Schizosaccharomyces pombe: one gene and its partner. The protein of the gene in region 1 binds, or shares a complex with, the protein of each later gene. Each region holds a gene or a part of one and is shown on either strand. Other genes may lie near its edges. The genes, in order: naa30 and naa35. A codon is read from its position in the direction of its gene.

What was found.
Region 2: the proteins of naa30 (region 1) and naa35 are in contact, whole or in part, in a cryo-EM structure (PDB 7L1K), measured with the Schizosaccharomyces pombe proteins. Residues at the interface, in NP_596246.1 of Schizosaccharomyces pombe: His9 (codon at 2,073), Leu12 (codon at 2,082), Gln20 (codon at 2,106), Leu23 (codon at 2,115), Pro26 (codon at 2,124), Tyr27 (codon at 2,127), Ser28 (codon at 2,130), Lys29 (codon at 2,133), Tyr30 (codon at 2,136), Val31 (codon at 2,139), Arg33 (codon at 2,145), Tyr34 (codon at 2,148), His37 (codon at 2,157), Glu122 (codon at 2,500), Arg123 (codon at 2,503), Gly125 (codon at 2,509), Phe126 (codon at 2,512), Cys127 (codon at 2,515), Arg128 (codon at 2,518), Tyr129 (codon at 2,521), Lys130 (codon at 2,524), Arg131 (codon at 2,527), Leu132 (codon at 2,530), Tyr133 (codon at 2,533), Arg134 (codon at 2,536), Tyr136 (codon at 2,542), Leu137 (codon at 2,545), Asn138 (codon at 2,548), Gly139 (codon at 2,551), Phe143 (codon at 2,563); in NP_596720.1 of Schizosaccharomyces pombe: Glu53 (codon at 5,668), Glu54 (codon at 5,665), Leu56 (codon at 5,659), Leu64 (codon at 5,635), Leu65 (codon at 5,632), Ser67 (codon at 5,626), Ile68 (codon at 5,623), Ala70 (codon at 5,617), Glu72 (codon at 5,611), Glu75 (codon at 5,602), Pro76 (codon at 5,599), Lys77 (codon at 5,596), Met78 (codon at 5,593), Tyr116 (codon at 5,479), Gly117 (codon at 5,476), Ser118 (codon at 5,473), Glu185 (codon at 5,272), Glu186 (codon at 5,269), Asp187 (codon at 5,266), Pro304 (codon at 4,915), Val305 (codon at 4,912), Arg306 (codon at 4,909), Asn307 (codon at 4,906), Ile308 (codon at 4,903), Pro309 (codon at 4,900), Asn441 (codon at 4,504), Cys443 (codon at 4,498), Arg446 (codon at 4,489), Arg447 (codon at 4,486), Gln503 (codon at 4,318).

The regions. Positions count from the first base shown.
Region 1 is NC_003423.3:3,020,385-3,023,845, forward strand, and holds naa30 (NatC N-acetyltransferase complex catalytic subunit Naa30), read left to right. Parts: upstream 1-2,013; 5' UTR 2,014-2,048; coding exon 2,049-2,164; intron 2,165-2,252; coding exon 2,253-2,589; 3' UTR 2,590-2,746; downstream 2,747-3,461. Other genes in the region: zng1 (nucleotide-binding domain-containing protein CobW/HypB/UreG), read left to right, coding at 469-1,704; autophagy-associated protein Atg9, read right to left, coding at 3,129-3,461. UniProt on the Schizosaccharomyces pombe protein: Catalytic component of the NatC N-terminal acetyltransferase.
Region 2 is NC_003423.3:4,131,434-4,139,542, reverse strand, and holds naa35 (NatC N-acetyltransferase complex subunit Mak10), read right to left. Parts: upstream 5,885-8,109; 5' UTR 5,825-5,884; coding exon 4,130-5,824; intron 4,085-4,129; coding exon 3,653-4,084; 3' UTR 3,563-3,652; coding exon of another isoform or gene 1,016-3,562; 3' UTR 958-1,015; downstream 1-957. Other genes in the region: RNA-binding protein Prp24, read left to right, coding at 336-567, 692-957, 1,016-3,562; ARS-binding protein Abp2, read right to left, coding at 6,258-7,841. UniProt on the Schizosaccharomyces pombe protein: Component of the NatC N-terminal acetyltransferase.

The DNA of each region.
Region 1 (3,461 bases):
AATAGTAAAGTTATCCGAAATGGATTATGTAAAGTAACATTTTCTTTCATCATATATAATTGTAAATTATTGTATCATAATTAATATTTCGCAATAATATGTTTAAAGATTCTATTGCCTATATGTAGTTTTAATAAATTACTTGCTATGTTTATTATTATTTTGCTCTGATGTCTTGCTTTTGCTATAAAGTCATTTCATGTAAAATTCGTTGTATAAGTAATTTATCACACTATTCATTCGTAGCTGCTGACAATTTTCGCTATAAAACCATGTCAGTGTTATACGAAATGACTGCATATAGTGCAAACACAGTGTTGTGCTAATTTCATACTAAAAAAATTCATTATTAACACTTTTCGAAAGTATTTACCTGTGAGACCTAAATTGAGGCTTTTAGAAGTATTTCTCAAAGTATTCAACTCGAAAAGATTAATTATATGACCATTATTTAAAAAAGGTGTAAGAATGGACTTTGAAATTGAAAACGAGTCGGAAATTCCACAGCTGGTTGACGTTGAAGAGGTTAACACACAACCGCATTCGGAAACATTAAGCGTACCTACGGTTTCGTCCAATAATGATATTGATTCATTTGAGCAGCAATCAGATTTTCTTCTAGTTGATCATGACTCTACCTTGGACCCAGTCCCTGTCACAATACTGACGGGCTTTTTGGGTGCCGGTAAAACTTCTTTGCTACGGTCAATTCTTGAAAATCGAAATGGTAAAAGGGTTGCTGTATTAATGAATGAGGTGGGTGATTCGGGAGACCTTGAAAGGAGCTTAATGGAGGATGTTGGAGGAGAAGAACTTTATGAAGAGTGGGTGGCTCTTTCAAATGGGTGCATGTGTTGCACTGTGAAAGACAATGGGATTAAAGCTTTGGAAAAAATTATGAGGCAAAAGGGGAGATTTGATAACATTGTAATTGAAACAACGGGTATAGCCAATCCTGGTCCTCTTGCTCAAACATTTTGGTTGGACGACGCGTTGAAAAGCGATGTCAAGTTAGATGGCATCGTTACTGTTATTGATTGTAAAAATATAGATAATATCTTAAAGGATGAAAGTGATATTGGTTTTATTCAAATTTCACATGCTGATTGTTTGATCTTAAACAAAACAGATCTTATTTCTTCTGAAGCATTATCTGTGGTACGTCAAACTATATTGAAGATCAATTGCTTAGCGAAGATTATTGAAACAACATATGGACGGTTGGATGACATTTCTGAAATTTTGGACTTGGATGCATACGGCAACGAAAATACTTCTAATCTTGAGTGGTCGATTCAAAGGAGCAATGATAGCAATATTAATTGTTCTACTTGTTTGGACGTGGATTGCCAACATTTGCATTCTCTCGATACGCATAGCCTTGATATCTCAACTCATACTTTTAAACTGCCCCCACTAATGTCGAAAGAGGTTTTTCAGCAATTTCTACAATGGGTTCGTCATACACTTTGGTCTTGTTTGGAGGAAGGGGAAGACGAGGAGTTTATGATTTATCGAAGTAAAGGAATTTTTAATAAAGACGATGGCTCTTGGTACATCTTTCAGGGTGTTCGCGAAGTATTCGAAATTATGCCGCTGTCGGAGAAGCCTCGAGCATTTTTAGAAAAGGATATCCATCCCGAAATTATCCTAATTGGGCGTAATCTACATCGAATATCTCCTTTCGTCGTCGGAAACCAATAATGGCAGTTATTTTATATTTCATTTTAATAATGTATATTGATATATGTTTGTTGAATTAATTTTAAATGTACGCAATAAAAAGCTTTTATACTAAATTATTTTATATAACACTCAATATTATAAATGTCATATCATTGACATAGATGTAACAAATCCAAGCAAAAAAGCCAAATTATAAACTTAATTTATACTGGCCTACTCGTTTATTCATTGTTTATAATACTCAGTTTAAGAACCGCATATAACGTTTTAACGCTATATCTGTAATTTCGACATTCGTCTTAAAGCTGTTGATATATACAGCTCTGCAACCGTTACAGACCCTAAATTATATCTAGAAGAGAATGGTGACAATTGTCCCATACAGTCACCAATATTTAAAAGATATATGTCAGCTTATTCAAAAAGATTTGAGTGAGCCATATAGTAAATATGTGTATCGTTATTTTGTGCACCAATGGTATGTTCCCATTTCATTGATTTCTCAAACTGCTTCTTGCATATTATGAAACTCGGCAATATCATTATAGTTTACTGACAGATTAAAGGCCAGAATTCAGTTTTGTTGCTTTAGATAATGATCGATTTATTGGAGCTGTAATATGCAAACAAGATGTTCATAGAGGGACGACGCTTAGAGGTTATATAGCAATGCTGGCCATAGTAAAAGAATACAGGGGACAAGGAATCGCTACTAAATTGACTCAAGCTAGTCTGGATGTAATGAAAAATAGAGGTGCCCAGGAAATTGTTTTGGAAACAGAGGTGGATAATGAGGCAGCCATGTCTTTTTATGAAAGACTCGGGTTTTGTCGCTATAAACGTCTTTATCGTTATTATTTGAACGGCACTGATGCATTTCGATACATCTTGTACCCGAATTGAAAAACAATGCTACAAAATAAAATCGCGGCATTTTCTATGCTCTAAGAAAATTTGTTTCCACTTGTCGCAGTATAAGTGAAAGTTTTAAAGTTGTTCCAATCTATTTATTTTTTTTTATTTTTTTTCTTCTACTGATTAATACCATAAGTAATTGTCATTAGTCGTCACTGTAGCGTAACTCCGTAATTATAACTGTAATAAACAGTGTTTACATTGATTCAAAGAAATTGTACGGATGTTCATAAAAATAATATCATTCCATTAAATGTAAACTTCATTAATAGTAAAACATAAAGTCTACAGCTGAATAAATAAAGAAGCTTCAACGTAAACTGCTAACTCTCCAAACAAACAATCACCATTCATTAAAAGAAATTAGTAAAAATACAATCATTACATGCATTAGTGGCTCAAATTGCCTTGCTAGCAAATTGTTAACACTTCTTATAAACATTGTCCTTCATTTTGTATGACAGAAAAATAAACCATTAAGCCATTGAGACTTGCTTGGTTGTTTCAAGAACTGACTCTCAATTTCATTAACGAAGATCCCTTCTAGGTGCTTCCGTATTAAATTGTTCGTAAAAGCTGATGCGAGAAAGTTCTGGTTTATTTTGAATTAGAGGGCTTATTTTACGTGATTGTACCAAAGAAGCGACAGACTCATAAGGCGGGTTGTCCTGGAAAACAGCGTAACTACAGACGTACCCAACGCCTTCAACGTTTATAGTATGTTCTCTGAAGAAATCCACAATATCTTGACTGCAGGAAGGAAAAGTGAAAAACAACAATACGGGTGTCAGCAAAATTCCAAGAATCTCCCAAAGAAGATTAACTATGCGATATGAATATAGAGAACAGAACTCTTGTTG
Region 2 (8,109 bases), 1.1 Mb from region 1:
CACTTCATAAAATGGTTGAACTTAGGTCTATGACTAAAAGATATTAACAGCAAACTAAGTAGTGCTATCTTGTTCTGAAGCATATTTTTACAAGTTTTATTATTCAATCTTTTAATCTCTTTCTCCCTTTTAACAATGTGCCTTGTATATTAGGATCAACCTAGATTGTTTAATATTTTCTAGTATTTTAACGAATTGCTTTTTTACTTTTTTCCATTTAACTTCCCCTTGTTTTTTAAGACTTTAGTGTTTATCTTGAAATTTACTTGACATTATACGCATGACATTTACCTAAGGAACCCAGCAAAAGCCTAGTCTTCGTCGGTTTTGACGAAATGAGTCAAATACAAGATTTAAAAGATGAGAATGTCGAAATGGATATTGATCCACAAGAACAAAACGAAAAAAAGCCTTTGCTTCTGGATGAATTGACCAAATTTACGATTTTACATCCCTATAATTATGATAGTCATATTAAACTCATTGAAGAGTTAAAGCGTCTAGATAAAAAGAAGGAGTTGTCAGAGGCTAGAAAGACTTTTCAATCGATCTTTCCACTTTCAGAAGGTATGTCAATCAACAATCGTCTAGGTAAAGCGTGTTGAGGCGAATTCCATAGACTCGCAAAAATTATTCACTAATTACTTTAACTTTGTTAATCTTTTGACAAGCATTTATTAATGGTTTTTAGATTTGTGGGTAGATTACCTTTTAGATGAGTGCAAAAACTGTAGGACTTTAGACGACTATGTGAGGATAAAAACATTGTTTGATTTGGCAGTTCAAGATTATCTGTCAATCAAAATTTGGTGTATGTATCTTGAATTTACGCTAAACTTAATGGACACTTCTTCTTTTGAACAAGAACAGTCTGAATTAAACGGCGTTATTACTTTGACAGATGCCCATTCTCTTTTTGAACGTGCATACCAAACTTGCAAATTTCATTTTTCTAAAGTAAGGAACTAAAAATTTTCTTCATGATAAAAATGTATTTACTAATCAATGTTTACAGAGTCAATGTGTTTGGACGTTATATTTGGAATTTTTACAGACGTTCGGTGATGCTCTATTTGAGGGAGAAGAAGAGCAAGAAATTGTTTTTAAAAACAAGATATATGATTTTCATATTGATAGATTAAAACTTCCACATGAGCAGATTGAAGAAACGTTTACTTCTTTATCAACGTTTGTCACAAATAACTGGTCTCCTTCCGAATATGAGGATGTTATGGTGAAAAGCAATAAAGTGTATGAGACTACACTTAAAAGAAATGCAAAAATTTTTAATAAAGAACTATTGTTAAACAGCGCAAATCATTCTCTCGAAGCGTATATGGATTTAATTAATGATGAATCGCGACGCTCAACAGCTGAGTTACAATATATAACAACTCTCTATGAGCGTGCCATAGTTTTGTATCCCCTCATTCCGGAACTCTGGTTGCAATACACTGCCTGGCTTAGTAAAGTGGATTTTTCTTCTTCTCAAGCGTCCAGTGTAGCAGAACGAGCTACTCGTAACTGTTCATGGATTGGGCGTATTTGGTCCATTAAACTGACTTATATGACGCTTTCTGGAGCATCCACATCGGCTGTCTGTGAAGAGAAAGATCGATGTTTGAATTCAAATTTGCTCGTAAATTTTGACGAGGTTATTGATTTTTTTAGCGGATTTTTAAAAGCATGCCTATATTTGTCTTCTAATGAAGATAAGCCACAGGAATTTTTGAAACATCAAATTCATAAAGTCGAAGACTATTTGCGAAAAAATCATAAGGGATCAAAGGATGCAAGAATGCGCATTGAACTTTCAAAAATTTATTTATATTCAGAAATCTCTGATTTTGAAAGCGTAGAAAAGTGCTGGTCTGATATGTTTCATGATTTTCAAAATCAGGCATTATATTGGATTTCTCGATACATAAGTACGATGAAGTATAACCCAGAGCTTGCGGCTGAGACGTTAAAAAAAAGCCTTTACAAAAACGTTGATCAGCCTCAACTTCTGTTCCAATTTTATCAATCCATTATGGACCTTAATAATGACTGTTTCACAAACACATCACATTTATATGACGTTTTAAATGCACAGAGGATTAGCTTCAAACGTCAATTGGATTCTTTTGCTGAAGAAACGAAGCAGACTGTCGAAAACACCGAACCACTAAAAGTGCCTCAAGCTGATGATACAGCCGCCCTTTCAAAGAAAAGAAAACCTGGGCAAGAAGGTGATGTGTTCAAAAAGTCGAAACCTATTGAGCAACACAGGAATAGGGAAGAACTTACAGTTTTGGTTACCAATCTACCTTCCGATATAAGCGAAAATGAGTTGAAAATTTTTTTCAAAGATTGTGGTAATATTATACGCATTTTTATCCTCGAAGACAATCAAAAGGATGTTAAAGTGGCTCAGATTGAATTTTCTGAAACCAGTGAAGTTCTTGCTGCTAAAACAAGAGACCTTAAATCGATAAGGGGTCATGAAATTTCTGTTCAAATTCATGTAGACACGAACCTCTACGTTACCAATTTTCCTCCGACTTATGATGAATTAGATATAACCAAATTATTTTCTGCATATGGTAATGTGGTTGACGTCCGTTTTCCTAGTCTAAGGTATAACACGAACAGGCGTTTTTGTTATGTACAAATGAGAAAGCCCGATGAGGCACACAATGCCCTGCAGTTACATAAGAAGCTATTGGAAGAGAAGTATCCTATTCAAGTCTTTATATCAGACCCGCTTCGGCGAACTCCTAGAAGCGGTGCTGTCTATGAGGGTAGAGAACTCTACGTTACAAATATTGATTTTAAAGTAAATGAAAAAGACGTAGAAACATTTTTTAGGGATTATGGGCAGGTTGAGAGTGTTCGAATACCGAAAAGATTTAATCAACATAAAGGTTTTGGATATGTGGTAATGACTACAAATCAAGATGCTGAAAATGCACTTTCTGCTGCTGGAAAGCAATTGGGAAATAGAGTTTTGAACGTTGTTTTGTCGAAGCCTCGAGAATCTCTAGAGAAAACAAGGGTATCATCCAATGACAACCGAACCTTAGCTAAAAGCTTTGAGACTACTGAGTCAAATAAAATGTCAACGCCAAAAAAATCATTCGAACAAATCAAAAGCAAAAGCCTAGGAGTCACTAATGTCGACGGGACTGTTAACGAGGCTAGACTTAGAAGTTTATTCGAAAGCTACGGAAAGTTGTATAGAGTTGTTCTTCATCCTGAACATGAAGGTGCTGTAGTAGAGTTTTTGGATATTCATGATGCGGGAAAGGCATCCTTGGCATTAGAAGGACATGAAATTGGTGGCAGGTTACTACACATTACCACTGTCAATGAAATGATGCACAATGTCCCATCTAGTATGAATCATTCCGATTACAATACCTCTGCTACACGCCCACGGCGACTCGGAAGCCGAACGTTTCAAGGTTTCAATTCCAATCATTCCAATATAAATTCTAAGAAGGACGATTTAGACGATAAAGAAATGCAGATAGATGCACCTAAAAGCAACGATGATTTTAGGAAAATGTTTTTAAAATAGTCAGCAATAATTAGATTGAATGATTAAAAAAATATTGAAAACCTAACTTTTGATAATTTTGATTTATTAACATAAAAGACGAACAACACCTCATGTACGTGAAAGACTTGGGAGCGGATTTCCAGGTATTTCCACTATTTTTAGATTAGCACTATGATCTTTGGATAAGATTGCAAGTGAAACCAGATTTGTAATGCAGCAACATAATAAATTTTTTAAATAGTTGGTTTGCAAGAAATACGGGTTGATGAACTCATTCTGTTCAAAACCGGATTTTATAACATTAATAAGGCTATTCTTTGCAGCAGTGAATTTTTCATTAGATTTGATGATTAAATCATCCGTAGAGAAATTTTGAAGATTTTTGATTATGCAATCAGCTTCCGAACGAAGTAGTGGCTTGGGTTGACGCAAATTAATTAAAGGACGATAATGGGCCATGTAATATGACTCTTGAATTTTTTCATCAAGAGTAAATGAAGGAGTTTTAATGATATTCAACCGCATACAAAGCACCGTCAGCTAAAATCGTTAGAATAAAAAAGAAGCGATAAGCTTTATACATACTAGTAAATAGCCAGAATAGGTCTCCTTTATAGCATTCAATATTCGATGCAAATATGTAACAAAGGTTTTGGCCATAGGTGGGGTATTACGATCCTTTCCATGAAGCTCTAAATGAGTCTGGTGGATAGAAAAGACATGATCAAGCACAGCAAAAAAATGGGGCCATTGATATGGTTGGTGAAGTTTTTGTTCAAAGGAAGAAAGCAAGATATGCTCAATTGCATTTAGCTTAACATGGTAAATAAATGATGAAAACGGTCCATTACTTGGTAGGCTTTTTGCTACGAATTTCAAATCAAGCGCTTCAGCTTCAAAATGAGCAACGGTAATTTCAGGAAGTAAATTTATTAGATTACGGCGGAACCGACAGGGATTGTGGGAACAAATTCGGACAAGGTCAACCATGATATTAGTTGAATGAGCAATCAAAGACTCAACTAGCGGACCATAGGCTGATGAGATAGAGTTTTTTTCGATTACTGTACGGGTGTTAGGATTATAAAAATTTGAAGGAAGCCCAGAAAACTCACGAATACATTCTAACATATACGAAGTAGGTTGATCCCTTAGATTAACTGCATTGTTAGCAGTGATAAGTGCTTGAAGGGAGGAACGGACGTAAGGCTCTGGAGTACGATTCAATCTCGTAAAATCTAAACAAAACTGATATACTGCCAAGGAAGAAGCGAGAGTGTGGCTATTCAAAATCAAAAGCATATCATCAGCAAAATACAAAATTCGTTGATAAGAATGCTCAATGCCAGTAGGAGGAATATTCCTCACAGGAGCTGTAGCAACTAATTGGGCTTGGACGCGAAAATCCCAATATTGCTTTAATATGCTCTCCTTGATAGATGAATCAACTACCGAAACCGTGTTCTGAATCTCGGGTACCAAATTTTTGATCAGATGGAGAGCATCGATGGTGGTCTTAATATCACTCCTTTCATACACTCGTAAAATACCAATTCGAAGTTGTATTCTATTGAGAATTCCCTCGATAATTTGTCGTAACTCGGCAGAAAATTTTATAACCTCGGAAGCCAAATATTCGATGCTAGATTGCAAAAGATAATTGAGTTTTTCTATGGGGTAATTTTGAAGAAAGGACATGTGATATGAAAACGAACTAATGTCTTCCTCGTCATATAAATTTCCCATCAGAAATTCTCGATGAACAATATCGCAACATTTAATAACAGCCAAAACAAAAGGGAAAAGAACGATGTCAGTTGTATTCCTTCCGCTACCACTGGAGAAGCCACTGTCACCCACTTGTGAAATAGGCGACTTGCAAATGGAGAACACATGGGCACTACAGAGTAAGCTCTCTGATAAGGGGGATCCATAATGCCACTCTTTTTCCGCAGAGACAATTAAATCCATTAACGCTAATATTTCCAAGTAAGAGAGATCACGTGAAAAATCTACACGAAGTGGCTGATAATCAATCCCACTATCCATTTTCGGTTCCATAATTTCAAAGGCACTGATTGAATCCAATAATGTAAATTTTGGATCACATACTAGCTGTTCCTCTTTCAGAGATTTCGTGGCTTCAAAGTAAGACTTTGTACAGTCGACATATCCAGCGTTATCAACATAACCTTCGTTCCCTTTGGCCGGTTCCACATTTCCAATCTTCACATTTCCTTGCATAGAATTAAGCAATGATAGGGACTCTTTAACAGACATAAAATCGACAAAACACCCCTATATTGACCAATTTTCTATTGAACGTCTAGTTTATGGGTTAATGAAAAGTGTTACTCTGTAAGTCACAACAAAAATTCCACGCATAAAAATGCTTGTTCAATAACATTTTCGAGAGTAAATAAGATGGTAATTTTTTCAATAATAATAAAAACAATGATAAATCCAATTTGAAATTATTTTACTTGTATCTGCAAAGGTAAAAAACTATCTCGATGGTAACCCATCTCACCTAGCAGTAGAATATCTAAAAACTTTTTATAAAATAAAGAGAAGGAAAACAAAATAAATACTTTAAACAATTATGCTTTTTTGAACATGAGAATTTTGTAACTTTGAAATTGCACCAGTTCGTGGAACGTGCAGTCGCAAAGTGTACTGCATAAATAGATACATGCATGGAAGAATCGTGATTTCAGTCAAACACTGCATTCATAATCTTTCTCTTTAAATTTTCGAGTTCTAAATTTTTTTCTTTTAGGGCCGCATTCAGTTTGGCAATTTCTAATTTTAATGAGGAAACAGTGTCTAAAGGCTCCATTGAATTTGAATGAGATATAGGGACATCGGGAATCATCTGAGCTTCTGCTAATGAGTGCATACTCGGCGCTTTTTCCAAATTGAATGCATGACATATAGTAGCTGTTAATGGTCCTTGATGAACGGTCCAAATTAAGCGATCGGTACTGGCTTCAAGGATTTCGGAATGAGAAGAGACCAGGGCTAAAAGAGTACTTGAGATGAACTTAAAATTGGGAGTTTTGGGGATCGGCGAAGTTTCGGAGGGAGGAAGATATTGGGATATCGTTTCAGTATAGTGTGATAAAAGTTGAGAAACCGTTTCCATGGGCAGACGAGCAACATGTGAAAATGCAGAGCGAAGCATTGTATTTTGAGCATGCATCAACTTTTCAAATCTTTCATACCAAGAGATACTTAGCGTTAATGACACAGATGGTTCAGATCTCAGCCGTTTAATTTTGTTACGAGCTCCTGGCGGACGCCCGCGTTTACGAGGGACTCCTGCTTCATTTTCAACATTTTCCGTTTCTACTTGATTGGTTTGTCGAGACCAAGAATCATTCAACCCGTCACTTTCTTTGGGTGAAGAAACGTCTCGTAAATCATCAGGCCATTGATGCCAGTCAGGATCAATGGAATCAGCAACGCCAACTGCTTCAGCAGTTTGAAAAGCGTGATCATGGTTATGTGAATTGTTGGCTGCGGAAGGTAACTGATGGTCTTCGTCAGGTGGTTCAAACATATTTGGAGGATGTGGGAGAGAATGGTTTTGAGGAGTTGTCTGATGTGCTTGTTGAGAACCTCGTTCAGACATGTGATGGGACGCTCTCATTAAAAGGGATTGAGGGGTAGGGCATTCTTGGGAATCTGCATGAGGGTTTGTGACAAAGCTACCAAGATTGTGAGTGTTGTCGTCTAAACTAGCACTAGCTGAATGAATCCAGTTAGAAGGGGAGGTTGACGTGCGCATTGTGGAGATGGAGGAAGAGTTAACATCTGGATGAGACATTAAGCCTGCACGTAAAGATTTAATAACCAAATCATCAGTTACATTTACATTGCATCGAACTTGAGGTTGGGTTTCAGGAATTTCGAGATAATAAGGATTTGGTTTATTCAGGAGATAATCGAAAAAAGCATCAACATGTGTTTGACTCATCCACCGTTTTAAACGAACAACATACTGTTGTATTTTTTGAGTAGATTGTTCATCTTTTCGTTCCACACCAAGAAAACCCACCAGCTTGGACCAAGAGTTAATTATTTTTTGGTGGTATTGCCGGACAAGGAGAAATAAGACCCAAATCTCAAATTTTTGACCCTCTGATTTAGGAATCATATTGAATGCATTTGCTAATTGCCTCGTGTCAGCACCTGCATACCAGGGATTGCAGCAAAGACAGAATTGGCAGAACTTTTCAGTAATATTATCCGCGCTAACATCATGTCTAGATGGCAACAAGGAATAAAAGTTCATCCTTGATTAATTGCTTTAAAAAACAATAAAAAATGTAAAAAGACAGATAGATAAACGTTGGATTATTAAGTAAACACGACAGAAAGACACAAGCAATGTCGAATAAAGAGATTAACAGTATATAAATATCAGAAAAGATCCAGGGATTTTAATAGAATGTATCAGTTCTTGGAACAGGAAGGAGTTGCTGTCTATAAATTAAACTCCAATCTGTAAATGAACCGATGTTTTTTTTTCCGTACACTAAAAAAAGGGAATGGAGGTAAAT